Linked DNA regions of Drosophila melanogaster. The gene in region 2 interacts genetically with the main gene of each other region. Each region holds a gene or a part of one and is shown on either strand. Other genes may lie near its edges.

Evidence for each region.
Region 1: of Arl2 (region 2) and msps, changing one suppresses a phenotype caused by changing the other (phenotypic suppression), as found in Drosophila melanogaster (one study listed by BioGRID).
Region 3: of Arl2 (region 2) and Tbcd, changing one enhances a phenotype caused by changing the other (phenotypic enhancement), as found in Drosophila melanogaster (one study listed by BioGRID).

Annotation. Positions count from the first base shown.
Region 1 is NT_033777.3:16,048,340-16,054,489, reverse strand, and holds the start of msps (mini spindles), read right to left. Parts: upstream 3,690-6,150; 5' UTR 3,314-3,689; intron 2,613-3,313; exon of another isoform or gene 2,574-2,612; intron 2,416-2,573; 5' UTR 2,346-2,415; coding exon 1,657-2,345; intron 1,602-1,656; coding exon 1,531-1,601; intron 1,467-1,530; coding exon 1,147-1,466; intron 1,088-1,146; coding exon 1-1,087. Other genes in the region: CG5013 (uncharacterized protein), read right to left, coding at 3,908-4,522, 4,574-4,702; IKKbeta (I-kappaB kinase beta), read left to right, coding at 5,170-5,269, 5,679-6,150. UniProt on the Drosophila melanogaster protein: Binds to the plus end of microtubules and regulates microtubule dynamics and microtubule organization. Function in neurons is essential for adult survival, and is important for climbing behavior and activity.
Region 2 is NT_033777.3:8,339,029-8,343,431, reverse strand, and holds Arl2 (ADP ribosylation factor-like 2), read right to left. Parts: upstream 2,333-4,403; 5' UTR 2,254-2,332; coding exon 2,189-2,253; intron 2,130-2,188; coding exon 1,775-2,129; intron 1,772-1,774; exon of another isoform or gene 1,717-1,771; coding exon 1,582-1,716; 3' UTR 1,562-1,581; downstream 1-1,561. Other genes in the region: PNKP (polynucleotide kinase 3'-phosphatase), read left to right, coding at 1-1,561; COX7A (cytochrome c oxidase subunit 7A), read left to right, coding at 2,564-2,608, 2,661-2,912. UniProt on the Drosophila melanogaster protein: GTP-binding protein involved in protein trafficking; may modulate vesicle budding and uncoating within the Golgi apparatus.
Region 3 is NT_033779.5:2,144,918-2,152,853, reverse strand, and holds Tbcd (Tubulin-binding cofactor D), read right to left. Parts: upstream 5,337-7,936; 5' UTR 5,208-5,336; coding exon 4,265-5,207; intron 4,208-4,264; coding exon 3,074-4,207; intron 3,013-3,073; coding exon 2,593-3,012; intron 2,526-2,592; coding exon 2,059-2,525; intron 2,007-2,058; coding exon 1,401-2,006; 3' UTR 1,190-1,400; downstream 1-1,189. Other genes in the region: AIF (apoptosis inducing factor), read right to left, coding at 1-191, 389-621, 708-819; CG11723 (uncharacterized protein), read left to right, coding at 5,830-5,968, 6,041-6,954; tho2, read left to right, coding at 7,823-7,936.

The sequences.
Region 1 (6,150 bases), 7.7 Mb from region 2:
ATTTTTGTTCAAAAGCAAAGCTCAATACTTTGCCCACAACATACTCCAGTTTAGTGGCTTCGGCAAAGGCAGACAAAACATCTGCAGCTGCTGCACCATTCTTGGCGTCTGCTAGCTTCTCGATTATTTCGTTAATCACCAGATCAACGGTTGTCGTGGTCAGTGGATAGTTTTCAGCCACACTGCGGATTATGTCTAGCTTAAACTTGAGTACCTGGAAATTCATTTCTTTGAGGCCTGGCTTTCGTCCACTGATTGTTCGGATCAGGATCTGTGATATGCCAGCCTGTTTTGCATCAAAACCGCTTATTTCGCCCAGAAGCTGTTCCACAGCAGCAAGGCGGTTCTTCCAGTTGGAATCCACCAGCCCATTAAGAATTTCGGCTGGCAGAATTTCTTCGGATTTTTCTTGCAATTCCTCGGGGGTTATTTCGCGTTCCGTGGCTAGGGGTTTTCCACCCGCTTTAAGAGCTGCAGTTGGGGCAGATGTAGCTCCTCCTCCACTAACCGTCGCCGGTTTTTTCAAGACCTTACGTGCCCCTGTAGTGGCCGGTCGGGTTACTGGCTTAGGGTCCACACTACCAGCCACTGTCTTAGCCGGAGCAGCAGCTTTCGCAGTCGGTGCAGATGCAGGTCGTGTCTCCTTCTTTGGACCTGCAACCTTTATTTTAATCTCCGCCTTTTCTTGGCACTCCTTTATCTTGGCCATTTTGAGTGGATCGACGTCGGCGAGCAAAGGAGTCACCGCTTTGTCTCCCATTAGCTTTATTAAAGTACCAAGAGCTTCGGCGCTGCTGTCGCGTACGGTTGGATCTGGTTCGTTAAGCGTTTTCACTAGACTGGTGGTCAGAAGTTTAAGCAGCTTTTTGTTTAGCGCGGTTGGTTGGGTGCGGGTTAGGGCACGGGCAATAAACAAGGCCGTTTCGGACTTAACACTTGGATTTTTGTTGGACAGGGACTCTACAATGGACTCTTGCTGGGCCTCTAGAGAAGTGGAGGCGTATATGGCATCAATAGCTTCACGCAGCGCTGTCACAACATTAGGTTTCTTCTCTTTAAATTTTTCCAACAGGGATGGGACACAAGCCTGAAATAGAAGAACACATATGAAAACACGTTATTTGGAAGAAGGTGAGAGTTACTTACGGATGCGTAATTTGAGAATCGCTTTGCCAATCCTTTGGCTAGCAAGGCTAGACATTTTCCGGCCATTGCAACGAGGACTACGTTGGAGTCCTTGGTTATAACCTTTTTAAGAGCGCTTACCAGCGCTCCATACTCGCCATTCTCTAGCTTGGGGTGGTCAGTGAGCAGTTTCTCCAGGACTTCCAACGATTCTTTGCGCAGAGTCCATTTCTTTTCCTCCAGCTTATCGTAGAAGTCCTTGGGCATTTTGGAGAGAATGTCAACGGGGTCTAGAAGATCCATAGGATCGATTTCTTCAACGCCAGCCTCGCCATCATCCTCTGCATACGAAAACCAAAATCAAATCAATAATTCACTGCTTTTGTAATATCGAGGGCTTCATACCATTATATGCATCCTCGGTCGCTGCAGCATCGGCGATCTTCGCTTGCTTTTCCTGCTGGGACTTTAGATATCTAAAAGTAAGAGCGGTTTAGCTAGGCAATGATAGAGAGAAATCCTTGAACACACCTGGAGGGTTCAACGCGTTCACCTTTGAGTTTGTCGAATTCATCCTCCAGCTCCTTTAGCGTTACCTGTGGTAGCGTTGAGATCTGTGCCTTCATTGCAGCTCCGATCCAACGGTAAATCTCAACAGCCAGCTGCTTGCCCTCATCTCGGACCGTCTTGTCTCGGTCAGACATTAGCGGAGCAAGCTTTTTAATTAACGGCTTGACGCCGATCACCTTGTGTCCGAACTCGCGGAGGGCCAGTGTGGTGGCTGCCACGCAGGCAGACACAATCTTAGGGTTCTTGGCCTCCATACCTTTAACCAGCTCTTCGACGACGGCCTCCTGCTTCTCTATCTCCACATACATTAGAGCCACTTGGACGGAGAGCTCCTTGGTTTTGGTCTTTGGCGCCGCAATGCACTTCTGAACGATGCCTGTCATCACGTCGCCTACTGTGCGTCCCGCCAGCCCGCTGTTCTCCACAAAAATGAGGGCCGCTTCTAGACCCTTTTCCTGGGCCAGAGCATTAGAGTCCACTACCATCTTCTTTATGAGCCCTGCAAATTTAGACCATTCCGGCGACTTCTCGTCATCCAGCTCGCGAAAGATCTTTGCGGCCTCCTCGTAACCATCGACGCGGGCTTTCCATAGTTTATGGACACACCGCTCCTCCACCGGCAACTTCTTGTACTCTGTGTCCTCGGCCATTGTGTCGTGTTTCGTACGCTACTCGGGTTCTCCTCAATGGTCTCAGTCGCAAACAGCCTCAAGCAGCATTCTGCGAAACAAAAAGATAAATATGTATAAAAAAGCTACTTTAATCGAATTTTTCTTAAAAGAAAAACTAGCCAAGCTTCCAATGAAGCAGAACTATTCCGGATGTCAGGAGTCATCGAGCTGATGTTTTAAAATTGAGCTTAATAGTCTATGAAATACCGATGGCCAAGGAAGCAGAATCATCCATCCGTTTCGCTCGAGGGGCGGAAAAAAGTAAATGGGTCGGCCATATTTAGATTGTCGTTTTCTAAGTGCAGTTATTTGGCAAACAGAAGCAGAAATAGGAGAGTGTAAATTTGGATTTTCGGAAAAGGTTGGTGGGCTTGTCACCCAGGATGGGTGATATCATGTCGCTGAATAGCGCGTTATTTTTTCAGTCAATTAATCAGGGGCACGGCAAATACCCCCCGCACAACCACTACAAAAGGTGACACACGCACACGAAAGCCTGCGACTGAATCAGGCGTGGATTTTCCATCACTCCCATTTATTATTCATGCATCTGTCTCTTTAATATTGTTTTGATGCGCTCCTACTGTGCTCACGTTTGAGTAGAGCATTTTTCAATTCGGATATGCCCGCGCTTTGTTTCTTCCTCTCTCTTGATTTCGCTCTTTCAAGCTCTCACGCACACCGACGCTCTCAAGTTCGAATTAACGGATCATACCGCAGGCAACAACAAATGTTTCTCCTGTGGGCTGTGTGTCTGGATTATGCCGTCGTTTACCGTTCCACCCAACCGCCAATGGTTGCAGCGGCTATCAATTTCCAGTGGCTGCAACTTGAGAGCCGCAGATGAAGCACATATCGCCCATTTTAGCGACAAACAAATTGCGACGCCCTGGAACAAAATCGCGATGCATCCGAGTGCATTCCGGTACACGCACTAGCACACTCACCATCAGAATTGTGATCCAAGTACCGCCGTAGAGCGGGGACTGGGCGAGGAGCTGCGGGACTTACAGCTGGCCAGGGACAGCGGCTTGAAAGGGCTGCGCAATGCAATAACTTCGATTTTTCGCAGGCGACGACGTACCAACACTTACACACGGCACAACACAGAAGCACGCACACTTATTCGACAAAGACACACCGACGGGGTCTTTCCGGGATGCCAAGTAATGTAGCAACAATGAACAATAACTTAACTACGTTTCCAGCACTTCGAGCCTCTTTTGTGCAGCGGAATTTACTTGGTTTCGCGGTAGGTAAATAAATAATAATTTTCGCAGTTTTCCAACAGCGTCGTTGCGCCAGTGTGACCGCTACTCACAACTCTAGCATCCCCTAAAACCTAGAATTAGTGTGCTGGGTGGAAAACTTTGATAGGTACGCGCTAAATTTTAAACATATATTTCCAAATATTTGGCCAACATTGATTTCAAGCGATTACCACAGGCAAATATTTATTTGATGTTTGGGAGCATTCCCGTGTAGAACATTAACTAAGAGAGATTTGACATTCAGCATAAAAAAAGCCAATTGTATAATTGTTATGTTGTATTTATTGAGCCATCGCTTTCGATGCGCGTGATCTCCAGAAGATGAATAGTGTGTCCGCCCATAAACTCCAGCAGATCCACTCCCGACTCCTTGCCAATGTCCTCCATGCTGATGGGTAAAGCCTGCAGCTTCCACTTCTTGAGCAGCGCCTCTATGGACCAGTCGGCGCTCCGCTCCTGGTATGTAAATATAAATTTGGCCCCGGCATTTCGCTCCAGCAGAAAAGCAACTGTGACCACGATATCCTCGAACACGCTGGGATCGTAGAAGCAGTCTGCTGCAATGATAAGGTCCAGAGGCGGCAGTCGGAACACGCTGTTCAGCAGCAGGCCCCAACTCAGGCCCACCACATCGATATCAACGCCCGGCTGCAGTTGATTGGCCAGGCAGGACTTTCGGATATGGGCCAGTGACTTGGGCAGAATGCAGTTGTCAGTAAGTACCACTTGGGCGCGGCATTTGGCCGCCAGAATGCCGGGCAGGGCGGTGCCGCTTCCCAGCTCCAGGATGCGCTTGCCCGCCAGTGTCTGTCGGCGCTCCCACAGGAAGTGGGCTAAAATTGGTGCGCAAGGCCATGTGTAGAAGGAGTAGGCACCCTGAAGCAGCTGTAGGCGGACACTTTAGATACTACACGAACACCTGGTTCTAAGGATTACCTCAGGTATTTTGATCTCCAGTCGCTCGGCGGGTGATCCGCTGAAGACAAACTTGCGGATATGCTCGGCAGTGGCTGTGGCCGCCACAATGTCATTGTCCTCGCTGCCGCTCTTCATGTGGAAACGCATCTTAGCTCAAGCATGCAGGAGTATTACTATTTTCACTAAACTAAAGTTATTTTTCAGCGTTTTGTTTACAACCTGTTTGATTAGCGATGTCACTTCGTTGCGATAACTTAATCGATAAAAATTGAGGCGAGTGAAGCAAATAGTGACCGAAGGGTGACTTCAGTAGCAGTTGACATTTTAAGCCACCATTTCTAAGCTTCAATTAAAAACGTTTTTGGGTATCCCAATTCGTCCAGTTTATTTAAAGGTATGCATCCCAATTGAAAGTGGCTGCAGCTGAGCGCTCCTCTAAACAAAATTCTCGTGACCGCGATTGCTGCTGAACGATGACTAGTGTATAAGCAATCGAATATCGCAAATCTTGTATGATCACTGTGGTGTTTTGCTTTTCCGATTGCCATGGAGGGATTCAGATTCTTGGAAGAATGAGCTCCGTAAATAAAATAAAGCTTAACGAAAACAACAAGATGCACTCTTTTGGGAACTGGGAGCGGTGCCGGAATCTGGGAGAGGGCGGATTCGGCCTAGTGATCCATTGGCGAAACCGAACAACGGGCCGTGAAATTGGTGAGCTATAAACACCTTATGGGCTAACACTAATATACATATACATATAAATATTTTAAGGATTTTCTTTTTCGCAAACACACATTACCAGCCCCCAAACACCCTCCCCCTTTCCAGCCTTACTCATAAATAAATAAATTTTTTGTTGTATTTTGTATATATCCAAATAATAAAACCATAAAAACAACATACATATACATATGAACATGTTTGTTGTCCAACAATTCCCAGAAACCGAGCTGAGGCATGCGTTTCCGGGTGGTCCACTGATAGTGATAGAGGGCTCGAGTTTTGCGCGTTTGGTGTGGTCTCCGCATTAGATATGTCGCTTATAGCCTTTCGGCTGAGTTAGCCGATATGGCAGATATTTTAAGCGTCAGTCTTAAGTGTTTATTTATTTTCCACATAGCCACCAAGCACATAAAGGAGATGGGGGCCCTGAGTGCCGATCAGCAAGTCAAGCTCAGCGAGCGTTGGAACAAGGAGCTGAACTGGTCTCGTCAGTTTAAAAACTTTCCCCATATTGTGGCTGGCGTGGACATCGAGGATCCGGACTTTTTGGAGTACCTGAATGGCATGTTTAGTGCCAAGTTGCCTGTTATTGTGCTGGAATACTGTAACGGTGGAGACGTGAGGAAGCGTCTGCAGAGCCCGGAGAATGCTAATGGTCTGACGGAGTTCGAGGTGCGGCAGATACTGGGAGCCCTACGTAAGGCCCTACATTTTCTGCACTCGCAGTGTGGGATTTGCCACCGCGATTTGAAGCCGGACAATATAGTAATCCAACGTGGAGTTGATGGCAAAAAAATCTATAAGCTAACCGATTTTGGACTCGCCCGAGGAACTCCCGACCAGACCATGGTGCAGAGCGTGGTGGGCAC
Region 2 (4,403 bases):
TAAATACCTAAACCGATCCGTTGGAAAAGCTGGCAAGGATGTGGCCGCCAGGATATGCACCCTTAAACCCACTGAGCCGGAACACCATTCTATACACCTGACCGCTGGGGAGAATTTCGTGGGACGCAGCCGGGAGACCGGCATCCGAGATTCCAAGTGCTCGAAGCGACAGATTCAACTGCAAGTGGACCTAAAAAAGGCTGTAGTTTCACTTAAAGTCCTGGGAGTTAATCCCTGCGGCGTCAATGGTCTGATGCTTATGCAGAACGGGGAACGCGAGCTGAAGCACGGAGACTTGGTGGAGATCGTTTACGGCAGGCATCAGTTCGAGGTCGTCTTTAACCCTCCACCGGAGTATGACAAGGAGAAAGCTGAGCCGTTGTCCACAACACTATCACCGTCAGAGAAATCCGAGAGGTGGGACTCATCTGGCAATGGTAAGCTGGTTATCTTTACCAGCGTCGGCGTTAAAGGTTCTGAAAAGATAGCTGGCTACGACATGGACGGCACCATTATAAAAACAAAATCGGGACTGGTGTTCCCCAAAAACACCGACGACTGGCAGATCATATTTCCCGAAGTGCCGGAGAAACTAAAGAATCTCCACAAGGATGGGTTTAAAATCTGTCTCTTCACCAACCAAGGAGGCATTGCTCGTGGAAAAATCAACCTAGATGACTTTAAGGTCAAGATCAAGCATATTGTGGCTAAACTGGGAGTTCCAATTCAAGTATTTATAGCCATAGGTGATGGATTTTATCGCAAACCTTTGACGGGAATGTGGCAGCACTTAAAGAGTGAAATGAATGATGGCGTTGAGATTCAGGAAGATCGATGTTTCTTCGTCGGCGATGCAGCCGGAAGACCGGAGACGGGCAAGGGAGCCACCAAGCGGCGCAAAGATCACTCTTTAGTAGACAGACTTTTTGCAGCCAACGTGGGAATTTCATTCTACACTCCAGAGGTTCATTTCCTGGGCAAACAAGTGGAGCAGTGGAATAAGCCGGACTTTGAACCCACTAGCGTTCAGGACCAAGTATCTCTGCTTGATCCGGATGACTTGACCCTCGATGACCACCCCTGCGAAATGGTCATCATGGTGGGTCTGCCAGGATCCGGAAAGAGCCACTTTTGTTCCAGCTTTTTTCAACCGCGGGGCTACAAAATCGTCAATGCAGATACATTGGGTAGCACTCAAAACTGCCTGACTGCCTGTAAACGGTTCCTGGACTCGGGCCAATCATGTGTGGTGGATAACACCAATGTGGATGCAGCTTCTCGAAAAAAATTCTTGCAGTTGGCCAGCGAAAAGATGATTCCATGCCGCTGCCTTGTGATGAATGTGCCCGTCGCCCAAGTGAAGCACAATATAGCTTTCCGAGAGCTATCAGACTCCGCGCGCACCAAGATCAAGGACATGGTATTTAACATGATGAAGAAAAAGTACCAGGAACCCGCCCTAGACGAAGGATTTATATCCATACACAAGGTGAACTTTAAGCCCAATTTTGCGGACGAAAAGCAGGAAAAGCTATACAAAATGTACTTGGTCGAGAAATAAGGAAGTAAAATAAATTGTATTTAATCCAAAGTGAATATACGCTTAGCTATATCGGCGATCAACCAGTCCATGGAGCTAAGCAGTTTCTCGCCAGTCACTGCACTAACTCCGGCCACCAGCCAATGATGTGTGGTGATATCCTCTAGGTGTAGTATCTTTAAATATAAAGTATATTAAATGTGTTGTTTCAATAAAAAATCAATGAGAGTGAACCTCTTTAATTTCGTTGGATGAGAGGGCTCCCGGTAGATCCTGTTTGTTGCAGAGAACTAGGAGTGTGGCTCCAGCTAATCGCTCTTCCTGGAGCAGAACTTGCAGCTCCTGGCCGCAGGACTCTAGGCGCATCCTGTCAGCGCTATCCACCACCCAGACCAGACCATCAGTGGACTCGAAGTAGTTTCTCCAGTAGGATCGCAGAGACTTCTGGCCACCGACATCCCACATATTCAGGGTGTAGCCGTTGTGCTCCAAGGTTTTAATATTGAATCCCAGTGTGGGTGAGATGGTGTCTATGGGTTCGCCATTAAAGCGCTTCAGGATTGTCGTCTTGCCGGCATTATCCAGACCTCTATAAGAAAGTCGATACATGAATCACTATTTATTTTTTTATAATTCCATGGAACTCACAGCAGTAATATGCGCATTTCCCTTTCCTTCTGTCGCATCTTTTTTAATACTGTGAGGAAGCCCATGACAACGTCTGTATTTTAGTAACGCTATGGAATTATAAACAAATGTTTTTATTGGCAGCTGCTTAAATTGTTTATTAAACTAAATAGGAATTTCCAGGTGAATGCCAAACTGCTGGAAATATCGACATCGATGTATCGATAATACATCGATATATCTCCAGTTGTCAGCTGTCATATTTCAGACCGATATTTTTCGCCCAGGAAAACTGCTCACTTTTTGCTAAATCTTAAAAATAAACCCCAGCAAAATGATGAACCTGTCGAGAGTAAGTAATTTACATTACTCTACACACCTTTCTGGAGGAACAGCATGAGTTCCGAAACACTGGAGATCCCATTACCTACATCCAATTACGTAAGTTCCCTGGAGCCTCAGAACTAACCGCACATTTTGTACTCCTCGGCAGGCTGTTGTCCGTAGCTTCGCTACCACCGCTGGCCGCCGGTCCGCCGCCGTGCCCAAGGACCAGATCGAGAAGGGATACTTCGAGATCCGCAAGGTGCAGGAGCACTTTCAGAAGAAGGACGGCAAGCCCGTCTTCCTCAAGGGATCCGTCGTGGACAACGTGCTCTACCGCGTCACCGTCGCTCTCGCCCTCGTCGGCATCGGTGGCATGGGCAAGCTTTTCTACGAGCTGAGTGTTCCCAAGAAGGAGTGAAGTCGCAGTACCGAACCCTAAGCTAAGCCATTAAACCCCGCGCAAGATCCGTGATTCAGCGTAGTCGCCTTATATTTCAATGTTTTGATTGTGTAAGTTCCATTTTTTAGAATTTTGTGTTTATGCTAGGTTGCTAAGTTCTTGACATAAAATATGACATTATCCAAGGACAACATTCCGTAAACTATTCCCTGTATTTGTCTAATAAATTTATAGACTATGTTTAAACCTTAAGTTATAATATTTGTTTGCAAACTAGCATCTTAAAGTCTCCGTCTTATACAATAATAGTTTAATTAGGAATTTTATTTGTACAATAATAGATATGTGTAACATGAGAACCACTTGCCTAAGAGATCTGCCATTCAGATACAACATCTATCCCAAAAGTTTGTAACTAATCGCAATCCTTAATCCCTTTATCTTGCAGAGCCTTGCCCTGGATACCTGGACAACATGAAACACCCCAACCTACAACCTGGCTTATTGTTTTGTGTTAGAATAGCTAAGATTTGATGTGTAAACTGAACATTCGCAAGAGCATTTAAAGCGTGGAAATATAAGAGATCTGGCTGTAAAGTAACGAGACTGCTTATTTGTTTTAGGCACGGTCGCTGGCAACGAGATATTTGCCCAAAAGTATTTCCCCTTAATTGCATTGACATTAAGTAAACAAACAGCGGCGACATGGAGCAGAGATCTGGGATGCGGTCGAGACTGGGGAATCGGCTAAGGAAACGGCCTGTTTTATAAATCAAAGGGCGGCAACTCGGCGCGTTGCCATTGGCATGGAAATGCATTTTAAATCGAGCGAATCATGTTGCGCTTTAACACAAGCACAGGCCCATGCACGCCGCCCGTTTATTAATACCCGAGTGCGGCGGAATATGCAATTCATGACGTTTTTCATTAGTTATTCTCCATAAACACTTAAATAAAACTAAAGCATTAAAAATTATGAAAACATCCGCCGCTTTATGCATTTTCCCTGGCATTTTCCACACACTCACAACGGGCAGTGCGTCACGAAACTGTTGTGGAATTTAAGAAATATGTTAGTTATTAAACGAGAAATAATATTTAACAGATAGTTTCCGCAAACAGTTGCATGTTCTCAAGTCTAAGAGTATATTCCCTTATAGAAAACTCGTATAGTGAACTTAGTAAGTAACTTATCCTTATAGTTTCACCACGCACTGTACAGTGCATACCCATCGAAGTGGAATAAACAGAAAAGCGTAATCTTTCCTCTTCTGTTGTGTTGCGTTGCGTTGGTTTGCCATTATTCCGCTACGGCCCATTTGAATTTTTGGATGTGCGCGCGAAACGAAAAGTCATAAAGTGGACGCGGACTGGCCCACCGTAAACACATTGGGAATGGCCAGCAGTTCTGCGTAGGTGGTTCCGAACGGAACTGAAAGTGGTGATCTGCTGCAGACATTGTATAGCCTATTCGTGGGCCATATGTGATCCCGAAAATATAGATTCCCC
Region 3 (7,936 bases), on a different chromosome or scaffold from region 2:
TCACCGCCACCGGGAGCAGTACCATCCTCGTCGCAGGGCTGGCAGGTGGTCTCCTTTCGTTTGCGCTTGAATTCCTCGCAGGGACTAGTCGCTTTGCAGGAATCCAGGACGGGTTGGCTGGTGCTGAGCTTTGCACTGTCCGACTTTAACACATCCTTAGCACTGCAGACGGACTTGACGTCAGCAAAGCCCTGGAAATTGATTATATTGTTTAATATTTGTTAATAACTCTGCAAGTCTTTGATGGGGATGCAAACTGGTTTCTGTTTAATAACCCAGCTATGTTTTCGCTAGTTATCAATTTCACAAGGCTTGTAGGAAGTTAGTTTGCATCCCCAACTTATCCAGCTAATGCAAATGGATGGTGAATGGTATGAACGATGGGTACCACTTTAAAGAGTGGCTCCGATTGGGAATGGGCTTGAAACTGGGCATTGGCGTAGGCGGGAACGCCGGCTCCCTCCACCGCCGTCTCGTACTCTTCAACGGGGGGCGTGGTCGAGGGCTTGGTGACGCAGACTTGATGATTTGGATATTTGTTGGCTTGCAATTTGGTGCGCGCCTCAAGGGTGCGTTTCTTTACCATTTGATAGAGGCTGCTGTGGGCTGGCCGAAGAGGAGCTGAAATCGACGTGAATGCTAGTTAGTTATCGGCAAAAACATGAAAACACGGATCGGTTTGGCCAGCCGGCCATAACCTCACTTACCGTATGCCGGCGGCGAGCGCTGCGGCACTGGACCCAATAGCCTTCTGTTGGCCAGGATGTACGCCTGCCGGATGAACCTCTGCGTCAGACATCGGACCCCCCAAATACTCATCGTGATTTGCACTGGCTGCGGAGTAGGTGACACCACAATCCACAATTGTGTAACGTAACAACGTTGTGCGGCGAAAGAAACGTGTGTTTTGCGAGTTCGTGTTTTATTTACAAAAAAACCAATTTCTATGACAAATTTCTCCGTGTGAAGTCCGGCGGTGTTTAATTGATCTCGACTCCTTTATCCCTCCTTGCTTTTGGGTAGTCCGCGTTTAATTTATATTTATTTTTCATTCCCTCGCCTGTCTTGTTTTTTTCTGTCTCTGTCGCAGTGTGACCGTCGCAATGAAATGGGAAATGGCCCAGCGCCTATTCGAAATTATTTGGCTTGAAAATAGCCACTTTTTATCAAAAAGTGTTCGTTGGTTTTTGAAATGTTGAACAATATTTAATTTATTTTGAGCAAGTGAAATTTTAAAATCGAACTTACAAGCTCTTTGTTTTGAAAACGATAAATATTAAAAAACATGTTAAAATAAAGATGTGCTTCCAAAATAAAGAATAAAAATTCTTATGAATACCACTTATGTATGTTGTCAGTACAATTGTGCATTAATATATATTAAATACATGTGGGAACATTCATTTATCAGCACTCGCTTGCTGCAAAGCGGCTGCAGCAGCTGCTCCACTTACGGGAGGCTTGATGTCCATTAGTTGGCACAACTGGTTCCGCAGCGGACGCACCTCCACCAGCGGCTGGGTCCAGTCCGTTTCGGAGAGCAGTGTTAGGATCTCATCCATATTCTCCTCGGGCACTTCGGTGACATCGCCGTGCAGAGCCAACGCTTCGTACAATTTTGTGGCAGCGGTTTTGCGAACGTGGACGTGCTGCAGTCCAAGAAATACTGAGAGCTTGGAGAGGATGCGTTTAGACAGGCGAGGAACCTGGAGCAACTGGCAAAAAGCACTGATGCTGGTCGCAGTCTTGTACAGCTTCTTGTAGCCCTTAACCTCCAGGTTGAGCAGCCTAAAGATATCCTCTGCAAAGGGATTTGCTTCATCGTGTAGAACCGATTCTACAGTTCCGGAGCCAATGAGTATATCCAGGAAACTGAGCAGAGGATAGGTCACGCGCTCGTTTAGTAGATGCTCCTCGAAAATCTGGACCACCTCGGAGCAGAGACGCGGAACAGTCTCAGGATTGGAACGCAAGAAGTGGAATAAGGCACTGGAGGCATACTTGATCTGCAGGAAGAATATTTTAGAGATTGATATAGAGGTGGTCTATACAACTTACAAGAGATTCAGTCAGTTGACCAATGCTGGCACTCAGACCCAAAAGAACTCTTTTAGAGTAATCCGGCAGAGAGAGCAGCTCGCAGAACAGCGGGAATGTGTGATCGGCAAATAACCAAAGTACGGAATCCGCATCCGCGGGAAATATTTCCAAGAGTTTTGAGTGCTCCCGTATGTAGGGGATCCTCGGCTGATGATGGATCAGTTGGCAGCAAAGGCGACCACCTAATCCACGAGTGCGATCGATCTTCTCCACCGCCTGTTGCATAAAGCCCACGACAATCTCATGCACTTGCTCTGGGGCGAGGAGATCAGGCGGACACGTAGTGACGATTTCGTATAGCGATGACATAGCCGCCTCCCTCACCCACGCTCCGATGTCACCACGGTTGTCCAGGGTGTACTCTTGAAGAGCTCTTAACAGGCATTCGATAACCTTGTTAAAGTTTTTCGGCTCAGCAAATGAGTCTGAAAAAATAATTGTATACTAAGATTTGTTCACATTCTTAGCCCACAACTAAGATCATTGACTCACCAATTCCCCCTCCATATCCCACGGTCTTCACCAACTTGGTCAAGGCCAGCACGCTCTGTGTCCGTGCCTCGCTCCACCTGTATGCCTGGATGTTCTCGCGGTCACCCATTTCACCCACCAGAACTGCTTGCAGTGGAGTTAGGGAGTGCTTCACCAGACTGTCCAATATAGCCTGCAGATGACAGCGGATCATAAAGGATGGGAGCACACCCAGAGCAGCAATGTAGCCCATGCGAATGTGCTCCTCCAAATCGTTATCTGCACCTGTTAGATAAGTGTTGATTATGGCTTCGTTTTCCCCGTGCCTGGAATCTGAGCAGTAATAAGTGGTACAGAGTTCACCGAACGCTTCCACCGCACCATCCCGAATAGCGTTTGATTTGGTGATCAAACAGGAATCGATGACTTTCTGCCAGGAAACTGAAACGAATAAACGCAATTAAATAATATGCTTGTTATACTTTAGGGACTCTTTTCCTACCCAAGCACTCCGGCGTAGCCTGCAACTTGGCCAGACTGCAGTTCTTTATGTAGCTGCTGGTGCAAGATTTCATCAGGTCGCCGCTCATTCCGCGATAGAAATTTTTGTCTAGGAACGTTATTATTAGTTCATTCAGCTCCGCAACCCGTTGGTTGGAGAGGTAAACCACTTGGGGATCACTCTTTTCCTCTAGTTTCCGTAGGGTCAGTGTTATTTCTCCCATGGCTAAGACACAACCATGCCGGCAGTTAATATCGATGGTGTCAGTTTTTGCCAGCAGTTGCGGCAGCACCACAGCGGCCATGTACTCGGGCTCCCAAAGGGATAGTTTGTGCAGGGCTTTGGCTGTCAGCTCCCTTATAGCCGAATCCCAATGGCTTACCTTATGCTGAACTAGATGGTTAATCAATGGTTCCCTGTACACCTCAAACTGTGCAATGTAGTCACTGATGTTTAGATAGGAATTCTGCCTGATGCCCACGGAATAGAAGTCCGTCGTGGTGGAGATTTCGATTCCGAAGGGAAAGTTGCCCAGGCGTCCCACACTTTCCTGAAAAGCTGCCGAGGCAGCCCGCCTGCAGTTCACCTCGCGGTCGAACACTGCAACGGTCAGCAGGCCAGATGAGATTTTGTGCACAAATGGCTTCACATCATCCGGATTGTAAGCCCTGGCAAATGCCCAGCACATGTAGCAGGCTGAATCTCGGATGTGTTGCCCCACCGACATGTAGCCCTTCATCTCGTCGTAGAAGAGCGCCTGCATAAGGAGGGGTACTAGCTCCTCCAATCGATGTGGCAGCAGCAATCCCCTTTTTGCCAGTTCTGCCAAAGCCAGGCATGCACCATGCCAGGCCTCGTGGGGTTCCAGCGGGTTGAGTATATCAATCACAGACCCTATAACCTCATCGGCCAGCTCCTTGGGAAGGCGATTGGTGACTCTGCCTAATCCTTTGGCGGCGCTCCAGCGTATATCGTTTCCTCCGCTTCGCAGTGCCTGGAGCAGCTCCTCAATCACCTCTTCTATGGCATCGGGGACCACTATTTCCTCGCCTTCCTCCAGGGATTGCTCCAAAACAACTGGTTCACCTCCTGCCGCAGTTGTCTGGTTTAGATTGGTGGCCAGTGAACGAGTGCCTAAGAAAACACTAGTTTATTATGGTTTCATGCGTGAATAACAAACCCCAGGCTTACCTCTTTTATACCGCCAGCTGGCAATGCGTGGCTTCAAATGAACCAATCCAATTCTCTGGATGATTTTTACATAGTTCTTGTACTTGAGAAAGTCGTTGTCATCCTTGTACTGACAGGAAGTGATCCACTGAAGAAGTTTGTCCGCATAGGGCAGAAGATCTTCTCGCTTTCCGTGCTTTAAAATAGCAGCCACTGCAGCCAGTTGGCCGAACTTGACGTTCAACGTGTCCGCTTGGTGCTGCTCCATAATCCAGTCCAGGAAGCGCTCCAGATATAGATCCTTGATGTCACTGCGAATGAAATACTTGGCGGCCAGGAAAGCAGCCATGCTGCTGCATGTGTCGTTGGAGGACACATAAAGCTGGATGAGCTCGAAGATGCGATCCATCTTGGTGTTCTTCGACTGAACATGGTTCACGGGACTGCAATTGGTGGTGGGAGCAGATGTGGAGGTGTCATAGGCATCTAGTCTCGACATGTGAAAGGGATTTAGGACCAGGATAGACATCCACAGGAGCAGTATATAGCGCGTTTCCCACTGTTCGAACTCCTTGGGATTTTGCTGACCCAGCAAATCCAGAACAAACTCCAGATCGCTCAGTTCGTGTGGCATAAACTTTACCAGGACCTTATAGGTGCGCACTTTGCAGATGATGTAGAGATACTTGAAGGCTGCATGAAGCTCTCCAGTGTCTAGATCTGGCTTCCGAATCTTGTGGAGCAGTTTGCCGAGTAACTCCTCCAAATGTGGATCCAAGAGGTGTGGCTGCTCCTGATATCTAGACAAAACCTGGGCGTACTGCTCGAACTCCCTTTCGAAGGTGTTAGCGGCAATGGATTTGATGTTGTCGATCATCTCCAGCACCTGCTGCAGTTCGGTGAAGTGCTCCAGCGTGTTTGCCGGCAGGTCCTCATCCTTGCACTCTTCCACAGAATTCGACATGGCTGCTTGACGATTTTATCGAGTTTTAAACCCACAGCCGGCAACAAAATCAATTCGTTTGTGAATCATTTGTTTTACTGCCAGGGTTGCAACCCCAATGAAAGTATGCTGGTATGACACCACGAACTGACTCGTCTCTTTCTTACTGTTTTTCGACCAAAAGGGTCTTTATCTAATTCTTTATCTTTAAACTAACATTTTTTTTTGGAATCAAATGCAGTTATTGTACATTGTGCTCTTTAAACGTTTGTAATAAATCCTACTAAATAAGTTCATCTAGTGTCATAGTGCCTTTGGTGTGGCCGTTTTGCATGCACCTGGTAATACCGTTAAGCAGCTGTTCGACCAGAGCTGCCAGGCGCAATTAATCATTTATTTGTAGTGGCAAGCGAAACTGCGAGATTTAGCAAGAGCAAGATTTTGTATATTCCACCAAAACGCAGCAAAGCAAGCCCGAATTTGGGATATTAAAAGTGTTACCGTCGGGTCGAAACCGCTCACACATTCGTCGAGTTTGCTGTGAGCGCGGTCATTGCTGTGAAAATTGCGTTGAAAATTCGGGATCCGCAAGTTTCGGAGCATTGCATTTGTGGACAAACCGCAATTTCTGGTCCACTGCGCCATGAAATCAGATAACTACCGTCTCATACAGGAGGTGTCCAAGCGGCGGTGCCTGTGGGACACAAACATGTCCATTTCGTACCGCAACCAGGACGCAGCTCTCCAGTGGGCGAGTGTCGCGCAGATAATGCAGCAGGATGGTGAGTGGCGGATAAACGAGGAGGGTTTTATATGCCTAGGAAACCTATAAATAACACCTGGTCATTTTGCAGTCTCGATCTGCAAGAAACGTTTCAAGGGAATGCGGGACAGCTACCGGGCAGAGGTGCGCAAGATACAGCAGAAACGAATCGAGATGTCCCACTGGCCATACTTTCGCTCACTGGAGTTCATGCGCCAAATCTTCGATCCGGAGGGCCTGGTGCCCTTTCCACCAGAGCCCTTCGTGATGAACACCGAGCAGCCGGAAGTCTTCGAGCCCACCCGACTGGTTGACTTCGCTATCGATTTGGATTTGGACAATGATGACTCTGTTGACTTTGAAATCATCGAGGACATATTTAAGCGGGAGCCGTCAGTGCCCCAGGACTCTGGCTCGGATAAAGGCTCGCTGATCAAGCCTTTGGATTCTTCATCCTCGGGCGCCCATCGTTCCGATCAGGATCTATCGCCCACATTGCCCATACACTTGCCGCGCCACCAACAATTCCTGCCACGTCCACCCCCGCCTTCGAAGAGAGGACGTCGGAGGAAAACTTCGCCGTCTAACGATGTCCCCTTATTGAATGGATACGCCAGCCAGGCGTCAAAGTCTACCACTGAACCCGATCTAAAGAACGATTCGGACTTGAGTTTCTTGATGAGCATGATGCCGCACGTAAAGTCTCTGTCAGCCATTAGCAATCTTAAGTTTCGAATGGAGATGGCGCGCGTTCTGGTGGAACTCAGGGAGGAGGATCAGCACATGCTCGCGGCGGCGGGACCCGAAGACGTTCTAGAGCGCAGCATGCCCAAACTAACACCAGCCCCGAATTCCAGTTTTGCCACTCAGCTGGAGAAATCCCAGTACCATCTATCCAATTCCAGCTACCAAATCAGTAGCCGAAAAACACCAACTTCGTTTGACTATGTCGACAGCTCCATGGTTGAGTGCGATGTCAAGATAGAGAATGAGCCTCTGCTATGAAGACTTCATACCAAATTTTTACGATTTTACATTCACCAATAATTCTCTAAGGAGTATTCCTTTCATATTGTTACAAGTCTTAGATGAAACCCTACTCATACATGAGTAGTTGTTTGGCAAAATGCCTATCATAAGACCATTATCCACACGCTGAATTGCTTGTAAAATATTGATTTGTATTGTCCAATAATTTAACCATTTTGACTCCGGGTATGCCATTCGCGGGCTGTTTTAAAGCAATTTACACGAAATGGAATATACAAACAAAATAACAGCTGATGCTGATTAAATTTTAAGGTTTAGCTTATCATTGGGATGTCATCTGGAAGGAATTTTAATGGATTTGAATTGATTTAAGATTCTGTTTTCGAATAGACACGTAATAAATATGTGCATACGATTTAAAAAAGGTCCAATGATTTTAAGGTGAGATAATCCTAAAATCGATTCGGTTTCATTTCCCGATGTTCCACTACGAAATGTCAACCATAAATAAAACAAATAAAAGAGGCAACTTGGTCGAAAACAATCTCAGTTCAATTGTAATGAAAATTGACGTCCGGTGCATAATTTATATATAATAATATATATCTATATATATATAAATAATAACAATTCAAGATTATTTGCTAGTTTATGTTCCTTGTCTAACGTTCCAGAAAAAAAGTAACTTGGCATTTGGCAGTCGGACGTTTTCGTTTCGGCGAATGGTATTTAGTTAGGCAGCAGTACGGTCACACTGGCGGAACTAACTAAAAAAAAGTGTGAAAATTTGTCAAATATTTCGACAAGTACAACGATCTAATCGATTCGGGAGCAGAATTCAGCCCCCGCAGCAAAGCGCCCGCGTGTACCACCTGATCCGAGGATGCAGAGATCCACAGACCGGTTGCGCCGGCTGAAAAAGCTGAAGAGCGTTACGGGAGCGCAGGATGGCGTTGGTGGCGGCGATGCGGCGGCGACGGCGGATAATCGGACCTCC